3 linked regions of the Schizosaccharomyces pombe genome follow. The protein of the gene in region 3 purifies or fractionates together with the protein of the main gene of each other region. This does not show direct contact. Each region holds a gene or a part of one and is shown on either strand. Other genes may lie near its edges. The genes, in order: iss10, cbc1 and pir2.

Region 1 (3,757 bases), on a different chromosome or scaffold from region 3:
CGACCGTCCGAATTTTGCTTTTATTAAGTCCAGTAGAATAATCGCTGTAGACGTAAGTAAAAGGTCTCTTATGTTACAGTCAATTAGGGTTTATGTGTCTTTTACATGCTAATGTTAACTAAAGAAACTTTTTCAAAATTTCTTCAATAATCTTGCATTTGGGAGCTTTAAAATTTGATTATCGAATAAGAAAGTAATATAACTATTCACATAATCCATAGTCTCTTTGTTTATTCACATCCATTAGAATAGGCTTACAAAGTACTTATACTATTTATGAAACGCCTCTTATTAATCATCTAAAAAAGTATTTATGTATAAATGAATTTGAAAATGTTAACTGAAAGTGCGAAACCAATTTATGCAACATGAATATTCTATCTACTATAATAAATGTACATCAAACATTACCAGTACTAAAGGTACTTAATTTTCTTTATAAGTTAAAACAAAAACATGCAAATTCAAATATTCCGCCAAGCAATTTTTAAATTGTTGCGCGCACTTACGGAAGAGTATAGCTAATAATCATAAAAGCTATGATGACGACGCCTCTCAATTTCCTCTGCTAATTCATAGTCGTTATAATAAGGCGCAGAAGGCTCATAAGTAGTATGCGTTAAAGGCATATGCTGCCGAGAAATACGAGAATCAGACATGTGAGGCGGACTTTCATAAACTCCATAAACTGAGGAAGTGGGGTAGTATGGAGAAATCTGTCTATGCCGTTTATGGTAATACGGAGAAAACGATGAATTGTTAGATTCGTATGAATAGTGCGTTTCAATAGGAGGCGGACGATTCAAATGGAGCAGGGAGCGATTTTCTAAAATTGGCTCCCAATTATATCTTGATTGATTTGAAAACTGAGAAGGGCTCTCATGAAGACGATGAATGCCATTATAAGGAGGAAGCGATTTACGGGAAAGAAAAGTGCCGTCATAGTCTACAGAATTCCTTATCCCCGGAGGTAGAATATAAGTATTTTGATGAGGGAAAGGATGAGAAGTTTGATCTAAAGAAACCGGTTTATCTAAAAGGACAGCAGAAGGACGAGGGTGAGGCATTATATCCTTATAATCCCGAGTTGACATGACATTGTTCTCCAAGGACAACTCAGGTATTCGATTGACTTGTAGCGATTGCAATTCCTTTGGATAGGGGATCCAAGATGGAGAATACGGATGCAAATCCGAAATTGGTGATTGATTTCCCAGAATGACAGACGGCTCTTCGTTTTTTACGGAGACAATTGAGTTTTTTTCATCTGATAAAGGAACCGAAGGAAACCTAGTAGAGCTAGGTCTTGTTGACTGGGGAGGTGAAGGAAGGCGAGGAGAAGTAAAAGCTTTGTTAATAAGTAGGTTATTGCCCTGCTCACTCGATTCCAAATGTTTAAGACACGGGACTGCAACGTTAGTTGCCCTCGGAGGAGAAGGAGCTGACACAAGCGATACGGGAAGCGCAGATGATGGTGGAGACGGCATATACAGGTTTGATAACTCCACTGATCCAGTATCATTTTTCAACGGACTACGGCGAAAAGTGTTCGGTTGATATGTCTCTTTATTCACATTTTTTTTATTTTCCTTAGGCGTTGATGAAGAATTGCTAGGAAGAACTGAAGAAGGATTAAAAGCTTGATTCCCATACAAAGATAAAGTACTCTTTGCTAACAATTTATTAGATTTTTCCGGTTTTGAGGACTCCTCTTGAGTCCCAGTAGAAGATTGTTTGCTAGTGTTTACAACGGGAGTAATATCCTCTTTCATCAAACCAGTGGCTTCAGGTTTTGTTTGACTATTAAGTAAGGAATTAAAATCACGGTTAATGTCTAGCCGTGGTAAATTAGTAGATGATTTAGAAAAACAGTTTTCGGACATAGATTCTCTGTTACTAAAACCTCCATTCTTAAATTCAGAAGGAGTATTTTCATCTCTGGTTTGTGCTTTGGGTGATGATTTCAGGAGTTTGTTATTACCTTCATCATTTGCAATTTCGACTTTCCGTTTAACAGAATCAAAATTTTTTAAAGATTTATGTAATCTATCTCTTAAAAATTTTAAACGAACATTGTTCGGAACCAAAAATTGTTGATGTTTCCCTTCAAACACAGTATCTCTAAAAGAAATTATTTTTTTGTATTCCTTCTCCACAGAAGGTTCAACGGCATCCATTAATATTTAAATTTAACCAAAACAATAAAAATTCATGAATTCCCAAAAAAAGTTTTATTCAACATTTGGATGTTGCCAAGATATACGCTCTTGAATGTGCGTAGAGGTGACCATTAAGGAGCGCTGCACCACTGTATATATTATCTTGCATAATACAAACATAACAAAAACATTCATTAATCAAAATTGCTAAAGGCTCAAATGGGTTCTTTTATATTCTGGATACTACAAAGTTAAGCTTTTGCATTGTACGAATCACATTATTTTTTGCTTCAATTACGCACACTGCCTTAGCACAAATCTGTTTTACTTTTACCATTGAACGTGATCAGCAATTGTATTAAGACAGGGGTGAATGTGAACTACTAAATAAATTAACAGTCGATTTAAGAGAAATGCCATCGATTATCCTTTACTGTTCGTGGAATCAAGATCGTGGGTAAGTGGCACACATAAAATAGATTTTGTGCAATCTTTGTACTGACTGCTAAATTTAGCTTTTTATCAATTGGTTCTGAGAATGGCTATCAAGTTTATCGCTCCAATCCGTTTACCCTGTGCTTTTCAAAAAGTAAGCTGTCAATGAATTTCCGAGAAGTGGAAACACAAGCCCATCTTACACGACTTATAACTTACTGATTGTAGAAGCCAATGGGGCAAGTATTTGTGAAATGCTTTATGAATCTTCTCTACTTGCTTTCGTGAATATTTCCCCTGAGTCGACGAGGTTACTAAAATTGGTTGACATCAAGGTAATTAGTTAACTGAGATTCTGCATTGATTTCTTAATTTTAACCCATATTTTTAGAGAGATATCGTTTTATGCCGAATATTTTATCCGAGTCCTGTGCTAAGTGTACGTTTCACATGGAATCGTTTAGTTGTTTTAATTAAAGGGAGTATTTACGTATATAATCTAAAAAACATGGAATTAATTAATACTCTAAATACCTCGAAAGGAAATGTTATAGCTTTTGCTGTTCATGAGAATTATGTTGCATATAATTCACCGACCAACCCTGGTGATATTTATTTAGCCTCATTGGATACTGCAATACCCGTCACATTGATTCATTGCCATTCTTCCGCTGTCCAAGTAGTTGACTTTCATCCGCGTGGACATTTGATTGCGACTGCATCCGCAAAGGGAACTGTAATCCGTGTTATAACAACTAGTGATGGTGAATTGGTGACAGAATTGCGCAGGGGATATATACCTGCATCCATTGTATCTATCTCATTTCACCCAGTTGAGCCTTTTCTGGCTTGTGCTTCTGAAAATGGTACTATTCACGTTTTCAAAATCTCTAAGCAACCATCGGATCCGAATTCGTCTCCTACATCTTCCGTAACTGTGTCATCTTCTTGGTCAAAATATTTAACTTCAAATGTAGCAAAAGTTTGGGACACTAGGAAAGAATTTGCAACTGCTAAGATTCCTGAAGCTTCTTTCTATGGAAAAATAATTTTTTCGAGCAGCGGTCCGCACATACAAGTAGCTTCTTATTCAGGACACTATTATCGGTTCGCAGTAAATCTTAAAAATGGAGGAAATTGTGCTTTACTTGAGCGTTACATGT
Region 2 (3,757 bases), on a different chromosome or scaffold from region 3:
ATCGGACAGCAGATGTCTCGGAGTTTTGAATCTCCTCGCTCTGCAAAATAATGTCAAGTTCTTCTAACGGTTTATGTAATCTCAATGCTTCGATAATTTGACTTGACTGTTGATATAGCGGATGAGTCTCATTTTCGTACACGAAATTGGGACCCGACGGTTGTTCGCCAAGCAAACAACGTAACTCTTCAGGGAGTGAGTCAGAAATTCTTGTGTAATAGCTTAAAATAAGTTCCCTAGTAATAGTTTCCCGCATAAAAACTTTTTTTGGATGAAGATCGTCCAGCTCAACGTCAGGAATCCACTCATTCCACTTCCAGTGAAAGTTGAAATTACTAAGGTGATGTGAAAACCAGTCAATAAATCGATCAAGTGTTTGTAAAGGTAAATCAGAAGACATGGTATACATTAGCCGAATGACCCTTCCAAAAGTTGGAGCCAAAATTTTAGGAGCGATACGGCAGCATTCAATCAAAAGCGAATGATAATAGACAGGTTTATACGTAGTATTCTGTGAACCAAGAAGCTCACCCAAAACAGCTTCAACTATGATATCTTCTGCTTTCCAACGTGATTCCGATGGATCTAAATTTGGTAATTCATTTACTGGAGTACCACGAAGAGCAAAAGTTTTGTAGGTAAAATAAACATCTAAATCTGTAAGAACTTGAGCAGCCTCAACTCGGTTAAATTCCAAATGGTTTATAACATCCACACTTATATCACGAAATATGCTGGCTGCAACGTCGGAAGCGTCAGGAGTCGTGCGAATTTCAAAGTTATTAAAAAGCTCAAAAAATCTCTTGAAGGAAGGTAGCTCATTTTGCTGAGGAGTGGGCTGAAACGTCCATTCAGGAATACTTGGGCTAACCGGAACAATATGAACGAAATCAGATTCAAAAAACTTCCAGGGTTGAGATATATAAGGAAAAGTAAAGTCGTTTTCCCGAGATAGAATTAGTTGTTTATAGAGTAAGTCCAATTCCTCCTCTGAAAGATTGTCATGTATTGAAAGGGGATTACTTAGAGTTATCGAAGATTTCCTATGACGAACGTAAATCTCACATTGATCCAGTATCTCATTAGCAAAATCCTTTTTACCGAGATCGTTGTTAGCTGCGATGAAATATGGAAGGTTTATCAAAATTATGCGCAGGAAATTATCTCCCCAGACACTGGGTTTGGTTTCTTTTGAGATAGCGTCAGCCAGTAATGAAAATAGTGGCTTAAGGGTACCTGGTTGAAGTGCAAATGACATGCAAATGAGCATTCGTAGATCGACTTTAGCCTCGTAATAAAGAAAGGAGTTTAAATTCGTAAAATACTGTAAACAAAAATACGCAGCTGCTTTTTCTAAGATTAAAGGAACCCTTAATGAGGCTCTTATAATTAATGTAGCCAAATGAGGTATTTTGACTGGAATGATAAATGCACTAAGGATTAAATTAGTTTTCTGAAGGGACAGTATAAATTATCACTTACGTTGTCTGAATGCAATCTAAGATAGTTGAAATGGTTTCAGGATCATTAGCTTCACGACTAAGAGACATAGCAACATAATTAATGTCATCAGCAGCTACTGAATTTCCTCGAGGATCCGCCAAAAAGGTAATATCCTTTTTTATACGCGCTGCAAGTAGCTCTTGAGAGTTTCCTCTATGGGGACGAAATCCATAATTCTCTCCCTCTCTCGTCCTCTTTCTGGGTCGAGTTGATCCCCGATAAGAAGACATTTTGTGAGGAATGTTAGTGTCTTACTGTTGTTGGCGTATAGCAGAATTGTAAAAACACGAGCAAGTGTTCTCAAGTAACAATCAACTTAGAGGTAACGAATGGTATACTAAGTCGAGATGGAAATTGTAAAACAAAAAAAAAGAAAATCGATTTTCCAATGCGATAAAAACGAAAACCTTAATAAATATGATTAGAAAATTTTACAACACTGTAATATTCTATTTCGGTAAAGGAATAAGCATCCATTCTGCTTCTATATTTTCACCTTTCAGTGAATGAGTCCTTCGTTTTTTTTGACAAACAATTAAAACAAAAATTAGAGGATATAATTTGAAATCCTCATTCACCGAGATTTAAGTGAAAAGGATCTGTGTTTATGCTTGTTTTTTCCTTGCCAAGGAGCATTTCTGCCATACATAAACCCGTGGCAGGAGCTTGAGTTATCCCCCAGTTGGCGTGACCCGCTGCAACAAATACACCAGACTTGGTTGTTGATATTATCGGGATACCTGTTATTCTACTGGTAGGAAGGAACTTAAAAGATGCGTCTAAGTAGTTACTCTTCGTATTCTCCGAGAGCACCAAATCGGTCATTTCTTTCAATTCGATAATTTCAAAAGGATTAAAAAAACATCGATTACTATCTTTTGGCAGCAAATGGAATTTTGGAGTTCCCATAAAAATAAGCTGCTCCCGGTTTTTACTGAAAATTTCGGTTGTTTTGCAAATGTTTAGATTACCCATGGTATTTAAACAACACACAACAATGCTGTCGCCAACGGGAAAATTTCCTACCGATAGGTGAATTATGGGAATGCATAGACCTGCAATACCAGTAAATGGTAATAGATAACCAGTCCAAGGCCCAGCACTCACCAGCGTTTTATGCACCTGTGCTTTTATTATTGTATCTTCAGCTTCTTGTTTTGGAACGTATGTAATATGGTGTTTACTAACCTCTTTCACACTTCCAAATATAAACTTTACTCCTCGTTTTTCTATTTCTTTTGCCATAAATTGACAAAACAATTTTGGATTGATCATTGCAAAATCGTTGCCGGAACCGATACTAGAACCTAAATGGTTAGTCTCTATATGACTTATACAATAAAGTTATTATTTTTTTTTGGTAGCACTTATGAGCTTACATTTTTGCATGCGCTCTCGTTGAAGCCATTGCAAAGTATCGGGAACTTTGGCAACATTGGTATTGTCCCATTTCATCTTACAAAACCAAGAATTGGCAGTCCTATATTCCCAGTTTTTCTTCCCATCAAATTTTTTATCCAATCCTTCATAAAGCTTCAAAGCGAGAGTTGAAAGTGGCTGTATGATTTCATTCTGGCACAGTTTTGTCAAGATTGCAGAATCAATGCCGGAGCTACCTCCTGCTATTTCTTTTGATTCAAATATAAATATGTCCAATTCTCCTTTTTTGTATTCTTGTTCTTCTGTTAAGTAAAACGCCGTACAAATTCCAATAATGCCACCTAAAAATCATCGTCAGCATGCTCACTCATCATTTATGAAACTGTTGTTCTCCAAAATTACCTCCTACTATTCCTATCTTTGTCTTATTTCCTTCTCTACTTGTAGCGCTCATATTTGAAGTTGGAAAGTTGACTTGAAACACAATCATCTTGCTGTAACGCTTCTAAACATTACGTTATCCTCACCAGTATTTCCTTCAATCTCTCTTATTTTTTTACCATTTTGAGAATAAAATAAATAGCAATAATAATAATAACAAAACGGTTCAATATTCAACAGTTTTTGCCATTCAGAATGCCTTTCATAAATTGCTATGGCGAGATATACGATTCTTTCATGAATACCAAACGATTGTAAAAAAGGAAAAAAATTACAAAATACTCCTCCTAATCTATAAAGTCAAGTTCGCATAAACAAACGGATTTTTAAATTTTTGAAATGCCAGATTCACATTCTTCAGATAGTTTACATATTATTTACACATGCCTTAATTAAAATTACTGCAACCAGTTCATTGAGTTGTAATTATATT
Region 3 (3,757 bases):
CAATTGAGGAGCTATGGGAAGAGCATCAAAAGCAATTGAAAAACGCCGGGCTAGAGCCCGCAAGTTTAGAGGAATACCAGAAACAATGGGAAGATTTTTTAAAGTCAAACAATATTTCTGACGATCCTTACACTTCGTCTGTGAATAGCTTTGCTAATGATAATTTAGCTCATAATAAAAACATAGATCCTCAAATTTTCCAGCATAGCGATACTGATAACGTTGTTGAAAACTCTTTACAAACGGAAGATGTATATTCACAGAACCAAGATGAATCTTCAGAGGTTGTGAAAGAGCTAAACGGAATAGATCCATTTGTTGAAGCCATGAATTTAATAAAAAATGGAGGATCTATCTCGAAAGCAGCTGTGTTATTGGAACAATCTGTGAAAGAGAATCCACAGCACTTCGAGGCCTGGAAATGGTTAGGTCGCATTCATACTCTATTGGGAAACGAATCGCGGGTTGTTGAAGCCCTACTTGAAGCTGTCAAATTGGATTCAACCAATCTTGACTTAATGATGGATCTTGCTGTGTCTTATGTTAATCAGTCTCTAAATGTTCAGGCATTGGTTTGCTTAGAAGACTGGATAGTCAACAGTTTTCCCCAATACCGAAACAGGTTTGCAAAGATAAACGAAAGGTTTGAAGAGAAAGATTCTGCTAACGATCTCTTGAAAATGCAGATGTATTTCTTGGATGTAGCTTATGAGTTATCACTTGCTAAGAAGCGTTCCTCCAAGGTACAAGCTGGATTAGGAATAATTATGTATATGTTGAAGGAGTATGAGCGTTCTGCAGATTGTTTTCGGCAAGCTCTTCAAGACGAACCAAGTAACGAAATATTGTGGAATAAGCTTGGTGCTGCTTTAACAAATGCAGAAAAAAATACTGAAGCTGTTTCTTCCTATAATCGGGCAGTATCTCTACAGCCCCAGTATGTTCGAGTTCGCTCAAACATGGCTGTTTCCAACATCAATTTAGGATACTTTGAAGATGCTGCAAAACATCTACTTGCTGCAATTGATATTATACAAAACAGTTCTACCTCAATGGAGAGCTGCGAATCAAATGAGGAACTTTGGGAAATGCTTCGCAAAGTATTTTTGATTGGATTCCAAAGTACTGATCTTGCCTCTCAGTCCTATCCTGGAGCAAACACTAGTTATATACGAGCCCAGTTAAGTGATCTCCAAGGTTGGCCCGGTGTTGAGCTCGAATAAATCTCTTAAAGCAAACGTGCTTAATTCATTTTTCATGTTATTATTTATTTGGTTGTTTTTTTTTTTAAATTTTTTGTCTGAGGCATATCTTTTAGAGGACGTGCAAAAGCTACTTTTTTTTTGTTGCACAAGAAATGAGATAACTTACGCTTCAATATCTGAAGCAGAGAACAAAAGTAAAAGAAATCTTACTCTATGCTACCAAAGTTACTATTGGTATGCAAGTTGTACCTTTCTTGACCGTTTATACAATGGAAATTAGATCTTCAGTGATTTGAAAACAGATGTTATTGTTTACTTTTGTGAGAGTGCTTCTAAGCTCTTTGTAAGCACAGTTTTTTAAGTAATCCAACATTGTATTTATTGACGATAATGAGACAATGTTTAGTATTAATTGTTCAATAGCATTCGCATAAAATTCGAAGTCTCACTTTTTTGTTTAATCATTTGCTTTTATAATCTCAGTTTATTTAGATATACTGATGCGTATAATAAAGTATTTGACAATTTTCTATATTTTGAATAATGAAACTTAGTGTACCAGCATAAAGTGCTGTATGGATATTTCTCTCTCGTAAGAACATTCTTCAACTAAGCAGGTTGAGTACCAATTTTGACCCAATTGAAATCATTAGTTTTTTAATAAATTAATCCCGATTGCTGGTATTTATAGAAGGGGAACAGTGTCAAAATATGAGTGAGGTCCATCAAGAAAGTGAAGTAGAGTACAGTCGTTGGAAAAGAGAACGCTCTCCTGGTAAGTTGTTAATGTTTAGTTTGATAGAAATACTCATCCTTTTTTTGCATAGAACGGAGTCAAAGACGTTCACAGAGCCCCCCTGGTGAACAGTCTGCGTATCATCGAGAACGGTCTCCTCTACGAAAGCGTGGTAATTACTATGATGATAGAACAAGAGGTAAGAATAAATATAAAATTCTATGAATTGACCTATTAACTACAATACGTCTAGCTTCTGGACCTTACCCTACATTTACTAAACCGTAAGTTACGACTAAATAAATACTCTACTCGATGTGAGTGAAAAACCAAAGTTTTCTAACAAGGAGACTAGTTTAATTGATCCATATACTCAAACAAATGCGGTTTCTTATGAACGGTTTATTCGGTGGTATAGCAAGGAAAACCATATATCCGCAACAACTGAAGACTTATACAACTCGCTTCATGGAACTTACAACAATTATAAACAGGATCTATACGCTAGGACCGCAAGAAGTTTTGTTGAGAGCCATTGTGACGAAGCTTGGTTTGAAGACAGCTATTGGGTGGACGAGTCACAAGGAAGAGTCCTTGAAGTGTCTGAAAATGAGAAATCTTATCGCCGGGCGTTATACGATAAATTCATGGACAGATTAGACGCCGGTTATTATGATGATTTTCAGCTTCCAACCGCTGAGGATGTAATCGAAAAGCCGTCAATACCTGATAATGATACAGATGACTCAATTCTTCCTTCTAACGACCCGCAACTTTCCAAATGGAACCAAGACTCTCGAAACGATGCAATGGAAAATACACTATTGGTCAGTCATGTTTTGCCCAACATCTCGGTTGCGCAAATTCATAATGCACTCGATGGTATTTCGTTCGTACAACATTTTTCCCTTTCTACTATTAATTTAATCAAGAATGATGAACGCTCACTTTGGGTTCATTTCAAAGCAGGAACAAATATGGATGGAGCTAAAGAAGCGGTGGATGGGATTCAATTGGATTCAAATTTTACTATTGAATCTGAAAATCCAAAAATTCCTACTCACACGCATCCCATACCTATTTTTGAAATCGCTTCTTCTGAGCAGACATGTAAAAATTTGCTAGAAAAACTAATCCGTTTTATAGATCGGGCTAGTACGAAGTATAGTTTACCAAATGATGCTGCACAACGTATCGAAGATCGATTGAAAACACATGCATCTATGAAAGATGACGATGATAAGCCGACGAATTTTCATGACATTCGTTTAAGTGATCTGTACGCCGAGTATCTTCGCCAAGTGGCTACTTTTGATTTCTGGACTAGTAAAGAGTACGAAAGTTTAATTGCTTTACTGCAGGATAGTCCTGCAGGTTACTCGCGGAAAAAGTTTAATCCATCCAAAGAAGTCGGTCAAGAAGAAAATATTTGGTTGTCAGATTTGGAAAACAATTTTGCTTGCCTTCTTGAGCCTGAAAATGTGGATATTAAAGCAAAAGGGGCATTACCCGTTGAAGATTTTATTAATAACGAATTGGACTCTGTTATTATGAAAGAAGATGAACAAAAATATAGGTGTCATGTCGGAACATGCGCGAAGCTTTTCTTAGGACCTGAGTTTGTCAGAAAGCATATAAATAAAAAGCATAAGGATTGGTTGGATCACATTAAAAAGGTGGCTATATGTCTCTATGGATATGTGCTTGACCCATGTAGGGCTATGGATCCCAAAGTGGTAAGCACGTCGTATGTATCCTTACAGATTTTAAACAAGCCCTACGTTGGTTTCAGAAATATTAACGCAAACTATACATT

The links.
Region 1: the proteins of pir2 (region 3) and iss10 purify together in Schizosaccharomyces pombe (affinity purification with mass spectrometry; 2 studies listed by BioGRID). This does not show direct contact.
Region 2: the proteins of pir2 (region 3) and cbc1 purify together in Schizosaccharomyces pombe (affinity purification with mass spectrometry; 2 studies listed by BioGRID, with this or other methods). This does not show direct contact.

The regions. Positions count from the first base shown.
Region 1 is NC_003424.3:2,609,520-2,613,276, reverse strand, and holds iss10 (protein Iss10), read right to left. Parts: upstream 2,252-3,757; 5' UTR 2,178-2,251; coding exon 522-2,177; 3' UTR 275-521; downstream 1-274. Other genes in the region: phosphatidylinositol-3,5-bisphosphate binding protein Atg1802, read left to right, coding at 2,573-2,616, 2,675-2,748, 2,823-2,929, 2,986-3,755.
Region 2 is NC_003424.3:3,226,509-3,230,265, reverse strand, and holds the start of cbc1 (nuclear cap-binding complex large subunit), read right to left. Parts: upstream 1,757-3,757; 5' UTR 1,734-1,756; coding exon 1,483-1,733; exon of another isoform or gene 1,434-1,482; coding exon 1-1,433. Other genes in the region: tda3 (FAD-dependent amino acid oxidase), read right to left, coding at 2,074-2,810, 2,883-3,224, 3,286-3,337. UniProt on the Schizosaccharomyces pombe protein: Component of the CBC complex, which binds cotranscriptionally to the 5'-cap of pre-mRNAs and is involved in maturation, export and degradation of nuclear mRNAs.
Region 3 is NC_003423.3:1,217,593-1,221,349, forward strand, and holds the start of pir2 (C2H2-type zinc finger domain-containing protein), read left to right. Parts: upstream 1-1,812; 5' UTR 1,813-1,916; coding exon 1,917-1,980; intron 1,981-2,032; coding exon 2,033-2,140; intron 2,141-2,194; coding exon 2,195-2,225; intron 2,226-2,296; coding exon 2,297-3,757. Other genes in the region: peroxisomal targeting signal receptor Pex5, read left to right, coding at 1-1,223.